2 linked regions of the Astyanax mexicanus genome follow. The protein of the gene in region 1 purifies or fractionates together with the protein of each later gene. This does not show direct contact. Links are inferred from orthologs where the notes say so. Each region holds a gene or a part of one and is shown on either strand. Other genes may lie near its edges. The genes, in order: xrn2 and cdkn2aipnl.

Region 1 (7,526 bases):
TCAGCCATCAATCATTAGGATTTTAAAACTCCTAAAATGTTTGGATTTTTCAGATGATTGACTGTTAAAGTTGACTGTTAAAACTGGCAAGCTTTTGTTCATTTAAAACTATACAGCAGGTCTCAAGGCCTCTTTAAGGAGTCTGTTGCATGTTTTGTTCATTTTGCACTTAATCTGAATCTGTATGTTGGACTGAGAAACTGAGTTTTTGGTTTCAATTCTTAAATATTTTAGGAATTTAAAAATACTGTACCTCAACTTCATGCATTGTTAATGTATGAGTAAGAAATGTATTAATAAAAATAAATTCAAGTAATACATTTTGTATAAGTCAATTTGTACATTTATAATTTGTTAAGGTGAATATGTAAATTGAGCTTGATTTAATTGAGTTAGACTAACTTAATATTTAAAGGTGAATATGTAAATTAAACTTGATTTCATTGAGTTAGACTGACTTAATATTTAAAGGTGAATATGTAAATTAAACTTGATTTCATTGAGTTAGACTGACTTAATATTTAAAGGTGAATATGTAAATTAAACTTGATTTCATTGAGTTAGACTGACTTAATATTTAAAGGTGAATATATAAATTAAGCTTGATTTCATTGAGTTAGACTGACTTAATATTTATAGGTGAATATGTAAATTGAGCTTGATTTCTTTGAGTTGGACTGACTTGATATTAAGTTGTATGAGTCTAATACAAATGAGTTGGTGTAACAAAATATTTTTAGTTGAACTTACTTAAAAATTCATCAAGTTGAATTTACTTAAAAAAATTGGTGCAAAACGTTGCCTTGATTTTTTTAAGTAAATCCAACACATGATTTTTTTCAGTGTACATACAATGTTCACATTGTTAACAACCTATGCGCTCACTGTTCTTTTTAAAATGTTCTTTTGTATTGATATACCTCCTTCACTTCATCATATTTAACCCATGTTTTGAGACAGTTTTCTTGAAACAGATCATCTCTACTATTGAAGGTAATAGGAGTGCCTTCAAATGGCTAGTGGACGCTTTCAGTTTGTGTGAAGACTGTAATTGTAAAACACGTTATGATTAACATGATTTTTTTAGTCTATTTGCCCTGACAGATCCCATCATATACTTAAAGTGGCACTTTGGCCGAAATGAAAACCATAGCCATCCCTTATTCTGACGTAAACATGCATACTTATGTCCCACAGTGGAGCTGCAATTTATCTTGAAGGTGGGGGAACGTTTAAATAAATAGCAGCACTAATAGACATATGTCATTTTGTAGTGGGCACCATGTTGTTTATGCCCACATTTGGTGTTCCGTGTGTAAGCTAAATTTTCCAATGGGGAGAATTTTTTTTATCACCTCAATCACATAAATAAATAAATATGCTCAGAACCCTATAGAAAATGAAAAAAGCTACCAATTACTGTTGCATTAGCTTAACTGTAGCAAATTCTTATTACGACTCTTAAACAATCTCGTAGTTCAGAAAATCCAGTGATAATCAGAAGAAAACTGTACGCAGAATAAAACATATATGGTTATGAACATATTTATTAATCACAGATTGTGATAGACCCCATTCATTCTGCTCATTGCGCAATTAAGCCTAGACACGGAACTCCAAATATGGGCGTAGGACTACAGAATGCTATGGCTATGTTAGTCACTATTGTGGGAGATTATCATGCATTTGTGTGGTGCATCTTGGGTACAGAACTGCTATATCGTTCACTCGATTTAATTATTTTTTTTATCCACGGCCCCTCCCGGGCTCTGTACCTTGGGTACTGTAGTAAAAGAACATTAAATACAAGAAGTACAAGCATTAATTTTGTCCAACCAGTAGGGCTCTGAGATACATTGTTAAACAACAGAATTATACACAGCATACACAAATAGCATACGTGCTGTTATCATGTCTAAAAACCTTTTAAATGGTCCTTATTTTAGAAATCACACAAGCAAATATGCTACAACACTGTGACATAGTACGAGGGGAAGGGGATGATAATTTAGACTCTCCATTGAACTATGGTTTTAATGTGCTTTAGGAATTTGGTTTAATTCATCGTCTAATTAGACAAACTGTGTGTGTGGTACTTTAAAATATGTGTACAAAAGGATGCATTAATGAACATGGGTTCGTGGAAGTAACATGAAGAGAGCGCACACTGTTCACTTATGAGGAGAGAAAGAAGATAAGGACTAGTCTCTGCATATGCATCAACCACATCAAAGCCTCTGCATAGAAATGAGTCTTATACCAAGAACCTCATATATAATCCCATGCCTGTTAATGAAGCATCAGCTCACTACTAGAAATGCAATTAAAGCACATTAGCCCCATGCTCACTGCATGACCATGACGCTGACCTGCACATGAACTGTCTCACTGTCTAATTGGGTTAACTGTGAAATGAGGAGAGTGACACAATTTTAAGTGATATCCCTTCCACAACAACAAAATAATAAAGTGATTCCAGTTTGAAAACATTTAATATTTACAAGAGGAAGGCATAGTGCAGGTAAGTGTACATTTTAAAACAGATTTAGTAAAATGTAGAAATGTAGTACAGGATTTAGTCAGTGCACAAAAATGGGTAAACCTGAATGCTGGAAAGATTCTTCCCCCTGCTTGGGGCATGAAGAAAAAGTAGTCTTTGTAAGTGTGAGCAGAATCTGTTATTTTGTTTCGTATCAATATTTAAGGTTCGTCTCATCAACCTCCAGTTTAAATGATTCTCTGATCCTAACCACTTGTAATTTTGAGCTGCAACAAAAATAGCAGCAACTATTAAATTCAGCATTAGGGTACCTATGTAAGTTTAAGACCAGCTTTTGAAAGTAGTTGGATTTGGATGGTCTTCAATATTCAAGATGGCCTTAGCTGGTCAGAAAAAGAGCTTGTAAGCTCTTGACCAGCATACCCAGATAGCAAAAAGTGATTAAATAAACTTAAAATTTTCTCTAATGCACTGATACAATGTTATGGTTTTATATAGGTTTTTGTATCAAACTTATATTTAATACAACTTATATTATATATTTTTAGTATTTTTATACTTATACCCTTATACTCTTTGTATTTATTTTCTTATTTTCATAAGAGCTTCATGTAAGGCTGAAGGGGGCTGCTTACTATTTGTTAAACAATAGCTTGCACATCACTTTAAATGGTACAAACTAAGTCTTTATTATAATCGAGAATCGCTAATTTATTTGAAGAATATATAATGCTTGTTCAAGCTTACTCACACAGGTTGTCTAGCTTTTTAAGCCACATATAATTGCAGCAATAATGCATTACCTAATTGTAAATAGAGAGAAAAACAGAAGTGAATAGGAATAAAAAGTATTTCACCGGGGGGTTCGTGGTGTTTCTACAGAGCCTCTAAGGTAACAGCATAATCAAAAAAATAAAAATAAAGAAACAATATAATGTGTGGCCACAATTTATTACAGTGTGGGAACAAGAATCCTAATGTGTGGCCATGACTTTTTAAGCTGCGGAAACAAGATCCTAATGCGTGGCCAGGTTAGGCGAGATCAATTTGGAATTTTGGAAATGAGATAATACATTTGTTGGGATGAGTTATTAAGGCGTGGGAATAAAATGCTTAAATACTGGCCATATAAGTAGTTCCCACAACTTAATAATTGTGACCACACATTATAATATTATTTTTCTTTTTACATCATGGGTTCCTAGGGGCTCTGTAGTTTCTGACCAAAACCACTCGAATACAAATCACATCATACTTACAATCTCCAAAGCGTTGGATTTAAAAGCTGCATAAATTTGTGTTTCTTCATCTAGTTTGCCAATGCAGTTCCTGTTATTTGCCATATTTTGACTCTACATTAAGTAACAAGCAAACTGCAAGTGCTTTTCCTGCTTAAGCACACTTGATTCCATTCAACTGTTAACTGTCATATTTAGTAGGCCAGTTAGAGCAGGGGAATTAGTTAACTAGTTACTTAAGCTTGCTGGAGTTTGCCCTACTATGAGACAATGTTTAATAATGGTTGGTTGTCTATTATAAACATATAAAGCTGTAATCCACCAAAACATGTATGTAACACATTTAATGTTCATTGCTCATGCCTGGTCAAGCTTACTTATACAAATTGTCTAGCTTAGTCTGATCAACACTGGTCATGATCTAAGCTGGTCAGCATGGTGTGCTTATTATTTTTTTTTTTAAGTGTGTGATGTTTTTGAGAAAGGCAGGACTCCCGCTATAATTAACTATCTGGTGTGATCTGGTCAGGTTGATGAATGAGTGGATGTAGCTGTGTGTTTGAGACTGTGGGGGGCGCGCTGATCTGCTCTGCTCCGCCGCTGCTGCTCTTGAACCGGAATAAACCCGGCCTGTGTTTGAGCTGTAGCTCTTTAGCTGGTTAAAAGCACGCTGCTCCGCTGCGCTACAGGCTCCCACTCATCCCGAGCTGTTTTTAAGTTTCACACAGATATATTATTTTAAAAACACGGTCAGTTTAAACTCGTGGTTTTAAAGAGAAGATGGGAGTGCCGGCGTTTTTCCGCTGGCTGAGTCGGAAATATGCGTCTATAATTGTGAACTGTTTGGAGGAGAAGGTAAGCTAAGCTAATGCTACAGCTAGCGCTAGCAATAGGCTAACGCTGCTGAGGAGAAATGCCCTGTGGAGAATAACACGCACTTTTTAGTTAGCTAACAGAACACTAGGGGGAAATATATGTAGGTTAGAGTCTGTAGGCAGTTTAATAAACCAGGTTTTAACATAACTCTGGAGCTAACGGGCTGAGTGGTGTTGTTAACGGTCTCTGAGACAACGGAGTCTTTTGATACACAGCGGTTAATTAAATAATCAAGCGTTAGCTAACTGAGGATACTGCTAAGCTAACTAGCTAAAACGTTAATGTCTACGTTCAAACAGCAACTGTTCACAGCTAACCAGAGCTAAGCTAAGCTAAACTAGCTAACTCTGCCTTTATGTTATGCTGGAAATGTTATGTTACCTATGTTTAGCTAGCTAGTTATTCACTAGGCGCTAGTTAACTAACGTTAGCGTTAAAAAAATATATAGAAAAAACGCGTGGCAATAGGGGTGTGCAATATGCCCCTAAAATAATATCACGATATTTTATGGTATTTTTTTGCAAAAAACGATATTCATGGCGATATGACTAAACTAAACACTAACGTTACTGCAACAAAATAAATATATATATTTTATTATTGGATACGATATGATATGGCACATCCCTAACTGAGAGATAAAAAAATATACTAGTATTTTATCAGATTTCTAAATTAAGTTAATGATCCAGTCTCATATTAATAATGGACTCCAGATATCTCCATATATCCAGGACTGAAGTAAAGTAAATAATATTATCTGTCTGTAGTAAATATATCATGGGAAATGAGAACAGTGTGCTGTGTTTTTTTTTTTTTTTTTTTTGCTAAAAAAGTAGTACCCTGATGTGATAATTAGTGGTTGGTGATTTAATTCATAAAATTAAAAAATGTTGCAGGTATTATTGCACACAATAAGATATGACCCCTAGCCATGACTTTTTAAGGCGCTGAAATGAGATCCAGCGAAACCTCGTATTTCAGAGTTGTAAAATCTGATTTTCTAAATTGGGGTCTTGTCAAAAACTCTCCAATTAAAAACTATTAACCTACAGGAGTCTCTAGTTTAGCCACATATAAATGCAGAAGTGATGTAACACACAATTGTAAATAAAGAGGAAAACACAAGTGAACAGAAATAAAAGCATTTCTCCGGTGTGTGTTTCTACTAAGCCCCTAAGGTAACAGCAATAGACATTAAAAATGAGGGTGCAGAAATGAGATCCTAGTGTGTGACCATAACGTGTTAACGAAATAATTAAATCCTGGCCATGTAAGTCATTCCCACAACTTAATTATCTTGTTCCCACGACTTAAGTTGTGATCATACATTTATTATTTTTATTATTATAATATATAAAGTAGACATCCCAAGCTGCAAAACACAATTTCCTCTCAGTTTGTGGGGAAAAAAAGTCTTGGTCGGCTGCTTGCACATTTGCATTCACTCCTGGGACACTCATTTTAGATTCTGGGAGATTTAATCTGACTTGCAAGGATCAGGGAGCAATTATTTATATACAGTAGATTCCTGCAACTTCCGAGAGATTTAGAACATCTGCATTACGTCACCTTAGGGGCTCTGTAGTTTCTGACCAAAACCACTTAAATACAAATCACTTATGAGCTTGTTTTTTGTCTAGTTTGCCAGTGCACTTTTTCCTGTTATTTGCCATAATTTGCACCTAAATTGTAGCAAGTAACAAGTAAACTGCACGTGTGTTTCCTACTCAAGCACACTTGATTCCATTCACCTGTTAACAGTCATGTTTAGTAGGCCTGTAAGAGCAGGGGAATTGACTAACTAGTTACTTAACGGCGTGCTGGAATTTGGCCCCCATTTTAACACCCCTTTGCAAAAGAAGCTAACTAACCTATAGTACACCAGGGATCATACCAAGCTGCACCAAGTGGACCATATATAGTACCAAAAATTTTGATAAACAATATTATTTAACGACCATTAAATTACATAATAAAATAGCATAATGAAAGACATTTTTTTTATTATTATACATAGTTAAAACAATGAACTGACCAAACAGTTAGTAAAACCACCACATTAGACTCATGGCACATTTTTTTAATTATTTTTTTTAATTCAATGCCCTATGCCGATGTATACAGTGTAGCATACATTCTTTTGTTTTACTTGGAAGTAACTGTGTCCATTGTTTTTCTTTCTTTTTTTAGTCTAAGGAATGCAATGGAGTTCAAATACCAGTTGACACCAGTAAACCCAACCCAAATGAGGTGGAGTTTGACAACCTCTATTTGGACATGAATGGAATCATCCATCCTTGTACACATCCTGAAGACAAGTAAGTATCTGAATTAGCTTGGAAGATAAATGTAAAAAAAGATGGTCAGTATTTTTTCCAGACAATGTTTGCTTTACTTTTCAGGCCGGCACCGAAAAATGAAGATGAAATGATGGTTGCCATTTTTGAGTACATTGATCGGCTTTTTAACATCGTTCGGCCGAGGAGAGTTCTTTACATGGCAATCGATGGAGTTGTAAGTATGGTCTGATTTTTAAATGTTATTTTCAGTTTTGACAAGTAGCAGCAGGGCTCCAGGCTAACATCATCTCACTGTACCATAAATAATAAAATAGCACAAAGTTAAAAAAAAAAAAAAAAAAAAAAGATTAAAGCTGTTTTGGGGCACTTTTGGAACAGAGAATTTGTGTGCTATAAAACCAGTTATAAGCAGTTTTTAAGGAAACTGCCTATTGATGATGCTTATTATATAACAATAATGTAAAACTGAGATAGTCTGTGATTACCTGTATAGAATTGCACCGTGGAGCTCAAAAGGTAAAGAACAAAAAATTGCTGCGTATCCAGCACTAAAACATTATAAACAGGATTCCCTTAGTCAGCTTTTTGATGGCTGCTGCTGTACTTCT
Region 2 (6,514 bases), on another chromosome or scaffold:
CCGAATCCTCGTCCCAAAATCGCTCATCAATTTCTTTCATTTACCTCATCACTGAAAAGAAACGACACAAGTGCCGCTCGAGGAAAAAACGCGTAATCAGAACGGACTTCTTTGCCAACATGTTGCTGAAAGCAGAAATCATTGTGCTTTTTTGTTTTATTATATCTATTTTTATTATTGCATGATAAGTTATTGCTAACAGACTTTGTAGTATTGTTGCAGTAAATGTAGACTTTCAGATGGTTTACATTCATAAAATATAATTTTCTTTACCTTTGTTTTAAGGAAAGGAAACTGCTGGCAAAAATATTGAGATATTGTATAAGGAAATAAATCTATTTATAGTTGGAGAATTTCACCAACAGCAGTTCTGTTCTACAATCTAAACAATACCACCATGTTCTGGTTTGGCTGGATTAGATATAATATTCCAATCACTTCGCTTGTGTCTCATTCGACATTCAGCACTCACCTTCATTTGTATGTGGCTGCAAATAAAAAGTGAAATGTGCATTAATAAATATACTCTGTCCTATACAGAATGATACAGCTCAGTTTTCAGATAAAGTGTGGGTTATATTGTGACTGTGTTTTCATGAAAAAATATGTAATGAAGTTAGTTTTTGTGAATTTATCCTATAAAAACATTTATACTGTATGCTGTATAAGCAAAATAAACTTTTCTTTTCCAGATTTTTTGTCTTTATGGTTGTGTGTAAAAAAAAAAAAAACACCCAAGCATTAGTTAAACATATTTATTTAAATGAAGTTTAAAAACAGTTAAAAAAACAATTTAAAATTCATAGTTTCAGATAAAAAAAAGAAACAGCAAAACAATGTTTAAAACTTTTACATGATAAAAGTTGTCATTCAGTTGAGCAGCTCGTCATCAGGAGACTCCAAACATCAGATCAGTGTTTCTGTTTCACCGCTGGAGAAAGAAAGAATCAGAACAGTAAAGTACTTCTGCAAGACTGTGAGTGAGTGAGTGTGTGTGTGAGTGAGTGTGTGTGTGTGTGTGTGTGTGTGTGAGTGTGTGAGTGTGTGAGTGAGTGAGTGAGTGAGTGAGTGAGTGAGTGAGTGAGTGAGTGAGTGAGTGTGTGAATGAGTGAGTGAGTGTGTGAGTGAGTGAGTGAGTGTGAGTGAGTGTGAGTGAGTGTGTGTGCGCGTGCGCGCGTAAGATTCCTGCAGAACCTACCTTTTGCTGGTTTTTGACGATTTCATCTCGAGTTTTAAATACAGGAGCATCTTCAACTACGATTCCTTCTGCCATCTCCTTCACTTTATTCAGCAGCTCCTCACTGTATCTAAAATAATAAACACAAATTTACAGTTAAATAAAACTGAAGGAGGAATAAACAGTCGTATGAGAGTGAGGGATCTGAGAGAACAAACAAATGAGAGGAAAAATAAGAAAATAAAATCAGGAAGAGAACTTATTCATTAGGAACAATTATATGGACTAATTAAGGAACAAATTATTTTTATGGAGATTATTACTAAAAAGAACTACCAATAATTAGCTACTGCCAGATGGAAATGAGGTCCGTTCCCCTTTGGATTCCTAACTGAATCAACATTAGGAGTTCAGAGGAGTGATGTGTAGATTACTGTGCTTCAAGTCAGTTAAAAAAATCTAAATAAAAAAAATCTTTGAAAACTCTTTCAAAATTTTAACATTTAACATTTACATTAACATTTCACCTTTAAATACCACATTAACAAGCAGATTGATGTACAAACTTAGTTTTCTATACAGAAATAAAATGTGTTTCTCTACGAACACAAGAATAAAGCTAGCTGAGGCAGTGTTGGTGTCTCTAAGTATATATTGATATTAAATACAGACATACTTCCAGAACCGAGCTGAAACCTCTGGACTCAGTTTTAAGGTTTCTTTTGATATTATTGATTTATACTGTTTTATATTTATTTACTTTGTTATTGTATTAACTGTGCTCTGGTCTATCATCTATTAATATATTCAGTATAGCAGAGGTATTGTTGTGGTGATTCAGGCTGTGTTTGCTGTGTTCTGTGCTGCAGGTTTGAGTACAGGTGGGTTGATGGTCTCTGCAGGTAAAAGTTGATGGAGATCATTAATCATTAATAACCTGGAGCTGCTCTAAACCCTGTTACACTAAAGGACTAAAGGGAAAAGCCCGGATCTCACCTGCAGCCCAGGAACACGTGGTTCGCCCAGACCATAGAGAGCGCGAGCAGGTGATCCAGGTGAGGATCTTCATAATCGTTAATATTCCGGAAGATGAAATCTCTCCGCGGCCTCCAGTGCTTCTCGCTCTCAGACACCGTCCGGTAGCTCTCTACCTGATCCACCAGGTGTCTGTTCATCTCTACAAACTGCTCCATCACCCCGCGCGCCCCGCTCACCTGCACAACACCGCGCGCAGCCAAAAAACAAACCCAGCTTCCGCTCACAACTAAACACTCACGTGCTCGCTTACTGCCCCCTACCGTCCCGGCGGCTCCCTGCACCAACCCGTTCACTGTCGTTACTACCACCCATTTACCACTCACTACCATTCAGTCCTATTCACTACAGTTCACTACCACTCACTCACACTCACTCACTACCATTCAGTCCTATTCACTACAGTTCACTACCACTCACTCACACTCACTACCATACACTAGCACCAATAACTACTCACTACCATTCATTACCACTCATTCCCACTTACTAACATTCACTACCATCCACTCCTGCTCACTACCGTTCAGTACTATTCACTACAGTTTACTACCACTCACTCACTACCATCCACTACCACTCACTACAATTCACTACCATACACTACCTCTCACACTCCCTACCCTTCATTACCACTCAATACCATTCACTACCATCCACTCCCACTCACTACCATCCACTACCACTTACTACCATTCACTACCCCTCACTACCATACACTACTATTTACTACCACTCACACCCCCTACCATTCACAACCACTCACTCACTCTCACTACAATTCACGACCATCCACTCCCACTCACTACCATTCAGTACTATTTACTACAGTTAACTACCACTCATTACCATTCACTACCTCTCACTACCACCTACTACCACTCAACACTGGTGTTGGTGTTAATATTGGTGATGGAGTTAATGTTGGTGATGGTGTTAATGTTGGAGTTGGTGATACTATAAGTGTTGGTGCTGGTGTTAGTATTTAAGCCTTAAGTTGGTGATGGTGTTGGTGTATTGGCTGATGGGTTAGTGATAGTGATGGTGGTGTTAGTAACTGTCCCAGGAACAGCAGATCAGTGCGGTGTGTTGGCTGATGGGTTAAGGTTAGTGATGGTGTTAGTGATGGTCTTATTAGTGATAGTGATGGTGTTGGTGATTTAATGGTGATAGTGATAGTAACTGTCCCGGGAACAGCAGATCAGGGCGGTGTGTTGGCCGATGGCTCCCCCTGTCGGTCTCACTGTAAAACGGACGGTTTGCTGGATGATGAACCGCCCCGTTTACAGATATGAGAAACTGCTGGCGTTCTTGATGTTTATCAGCTGTTAAACTGAGTTACCGGTAAGTAAAGAGTATTTATATGATGTTCCGTAGTGTTTAATGATCTGAAGCAGAGCTCGCGCTCTCCGGAGTCGCGCGGATCACGGGCTTATTTTTGGTACGTCATTAATATGGCGCCAAAAGAGTTTAGAGTGCGGGTTTATGTGTGCTGCGGGTCTGAGAGAGAGAGAGAGAGAGAGAGACAGACAGAGAGACAGACAGACAGACAGACAGACAGGGAAAGAGAGATAGACAGGGAAAGACACAGAAAAAAAAGACAGGGAGAGAGAGACAGGCTGTGGGGTAAGGTGTGTAAACTAGCCCGTTAGCTGTAGCTGTCTCTCTCTCTTAGGAAGTAACTCGGGGTTAGGGGAACTAAAATGCCTCTAAATCTCGTTAACTCGCAGTAACACTTTACTCTCAGGTCCGCGGAGCTGCTGTAACGGTGTTTAACGCGCCGTGCGGTTACAGCTGTAGGTCAGACCCCGCTCTCCGCAGGTAAACCCGGGGGGGAGTTAGCCGGTTAGCCCCGCGGCGGAGCGCGGGCTGCGGGGAGGGGTGCGAGTGCAGCCCGGGCTGTGGAGCCGCAGCTTCGGCTTAAATCTCTATGAGAAAGCGCGCTGCGCGGGCGGCCATCGCGTTTCTACTGAATCCCGTGATAATCGGACGGAGGTACTTGTTTCTTTGAAGCTCTCGCTAACTAACACACTTTTCACCCCGGGGGATATTCAGGGGCGCGGGGAGCGAACACGCACCGCAGCGCAGCGCTGAGTGTAGCCCCGCAGCGTTGAGAGTAGCCCCGCTAGCTGCGAGCGGTTCGCCTCCAATGGTCTCCTGATCCGCCCCCGGTCCCGGCGCTGCCCGCAGGCGAGGACCGCCAGCCCAAACACGGTAAGCAAGCGAGCTAAACGGTGCCCTAACGGGGCTGGGTAGTGAGCTCTAGCAGCCCCTCGTGCCCGCGGTAAAGAGCCGCGCGGGGATCAGGAGCGGACCGCCTGCATATGGCGGGTTGTTTACATGTTAAGGAAGCGGATGCGCAGATTTTCAGCAGATCGTGTTTTTTGTTTGTATCTAAACTTTAACCAATATCTGCTGTAAATAGTCCGTATAAGTTACAGATATAAATCCCCGGAAGTTTGGAAAGTTTGAGTAGAACCGAGTGTTTGGCTGGTTGGTGAAGTTAGCTCGGTTCTGCAGGGTGAAGCTCTGGCCCAGCCTGTATCACAGTTATCACTGCTACTTTACCGGCATTAATATGGTGATGATGATGATGATGATAATAATAATAATAATACTTTATTTTTATATAGCGCTTTTCTAAAACCCAAAGACGCTTGACGATGATGATGATGATGATGATGATTGTGATGATGATGATGATTGTGATGCAGGTGTATTTTAATTGCACTATACTGTAGTGAAAACTCGCAGGTAACTGATGTTAAATATTATCTCTCCTGCTTCTCCTGCTTAAGTTCGGTCTGTAGGGGGCGTGGCCTTTGCTTACAGTCCAAGCTGCTTCTCGCTGTGCGATAAGTGGGCGTTGTCGCGCGAGGTGCGCATGGCAAGGTGGAGGAACATCCTCCTAAATCAGGCAGGGGGCGGGGCATGGGCGTTGCAGGGGGCGGAGTTTCTGCTCTAACGAACCTACTAAACTTTGGGATCCATTGAAGAACAGAACTGCAGGAATCCAGCCTCTTGTCCATGTCCTAAATAATAAACAGATCGAGCCTGAAACTCTGGATGTGTTTTAGTAAATATGGATCCCACTAACTATTGGTTCTCACCATCTTCTGGGTTTTTTTTTTTTTGCTCCTGTTGGTCCTGCAGGATCCCCATTCCCTGCACATTTAGTGTTCTTCTTGCTTCTAGTACACGTGATCCAGCTAATTAAACATGTCATAGTTATCTAAAATGCCCTCTGCCTGGGAAAACTGATCAGTAGAGACATCACTCCCATCCTCTTCAGCAACCGGGTGAGATGATTCGCTGCTGGTGCTGTGAGGTGGTTAGAAATTTCCACATTATCATTAAATCAGTTCAAATAAAATCAGTTTAAATATGATTTGATCATGGTGTGAGCAGGCTCTACAGGGATGTTAGCCTGTAGAAGTGCAATGAAACCCTCCATATATGTCCAGTGTGACACAGGCAGGCTGTGTTTATGCAAAGCCTAGCAGGCAGGTGGCTTGTGATTGGTGGAGAAGGGGGCAAGGCTCTCACATGGTTAGTGGTATCCTGTTAGAGCTGCTCTCACATGAGGGAGTGTTGTGAATGAGACCCCCCCCCCCCCCTCACACACACACACACACACACACACACACACACACACACACACACACACTGAGACTGATGGGAGAAGGTCTGGAGGATCTAGAAGCCAGAAGATGAGCTTGTGATTGTGCTGTGTGTAGAGTTCAGCATGTGTTTATTTATGTCACTCAATTAGAAAAATGGTTCCTCCTGTCAAGATCTCAAAAATCCGCCTGGAAAAGCTTAGCTTATTATTATTATTATTATTTTATTTATTATTATTTTATAGAGTAACAATATATATTTTTGTTATTCTTGGTGATATTACAAAAATAAAAAATATATATTTTTATGTGTGAACATGACAGTTTTAAGCATTTAATATAAACTAAAAATCTGTAAAAAGTCTAAATTGTATACAACAAGAACTTATGAAGACATTCATTTTGTATAAAATAATTATAATAGCTCAAATATTATGTATAATTTAATATAAAAATAGTGAAAAAACATTTGAAGTTGTGACCATTAAACCTTGTTTTCTGTTTGTTGAAACATAAAGACATCTGTAGTGACTCCCACTGTATTACTGCTGCTTTTGGCTCTGGGTTCTTGCTGTATACAGTGTTCTCCCTTCAGGCTATTATAACCTGTTATACATTTTTATAATTCATGCTTTATACTAACTTTATATATCTGCTGTACTGTGGAGAGCAGTGGCAGAGA

What was found.
Region 2: the proteins of xrn2 (region 1) and cdkn2aipnl purify together in Homo sapiens (co-immunoprecipitation; 6 studies listed by BioGRID and IntAct, with this or other methods). This does not show direct contact. The link is inferred for Astyanax mexicanus from reciprocal best matches to the Homo sapiens genes XRN2 and CDKN2AIPNL.

The regions. Positions count from the first base shown.
Region 1 is NC_064408.1:83,918,393-83,925,918, reverse strand, and holds the start of xrn2 (5'-3' exoribonuclease 2), read left to right. Parts: upstream 1-4,367; 5' UTR 4,368-4,518; coding exon 4,519-4,593; intron 4,594-6,808; coding exon 6,809-6,936; intron 6,937-7,020; coding exon 7,021-7,132; intron 7,133-7,526. UniProt on the Homo sapiens protein: Possesses 5'->3' exoribonuclease activity. May promote the termination of transcription by RNA polymerase II.
Region 2 is NC_064424.1:48,052,779-48,059,292, forward strand, and holds cdkn2aipnl (CDKN2AIP N-terminal-like protein), read right to left. Parts: upstream 2,525-6,514; 5' UTR 2,371-2,524; coding exon 2,174-2,370; intron 1,308-2,173; coding exon 1,199-1,307; intron 932-1,198; coding exon 926-931; 3' UTR 742-925; downstream 1-741.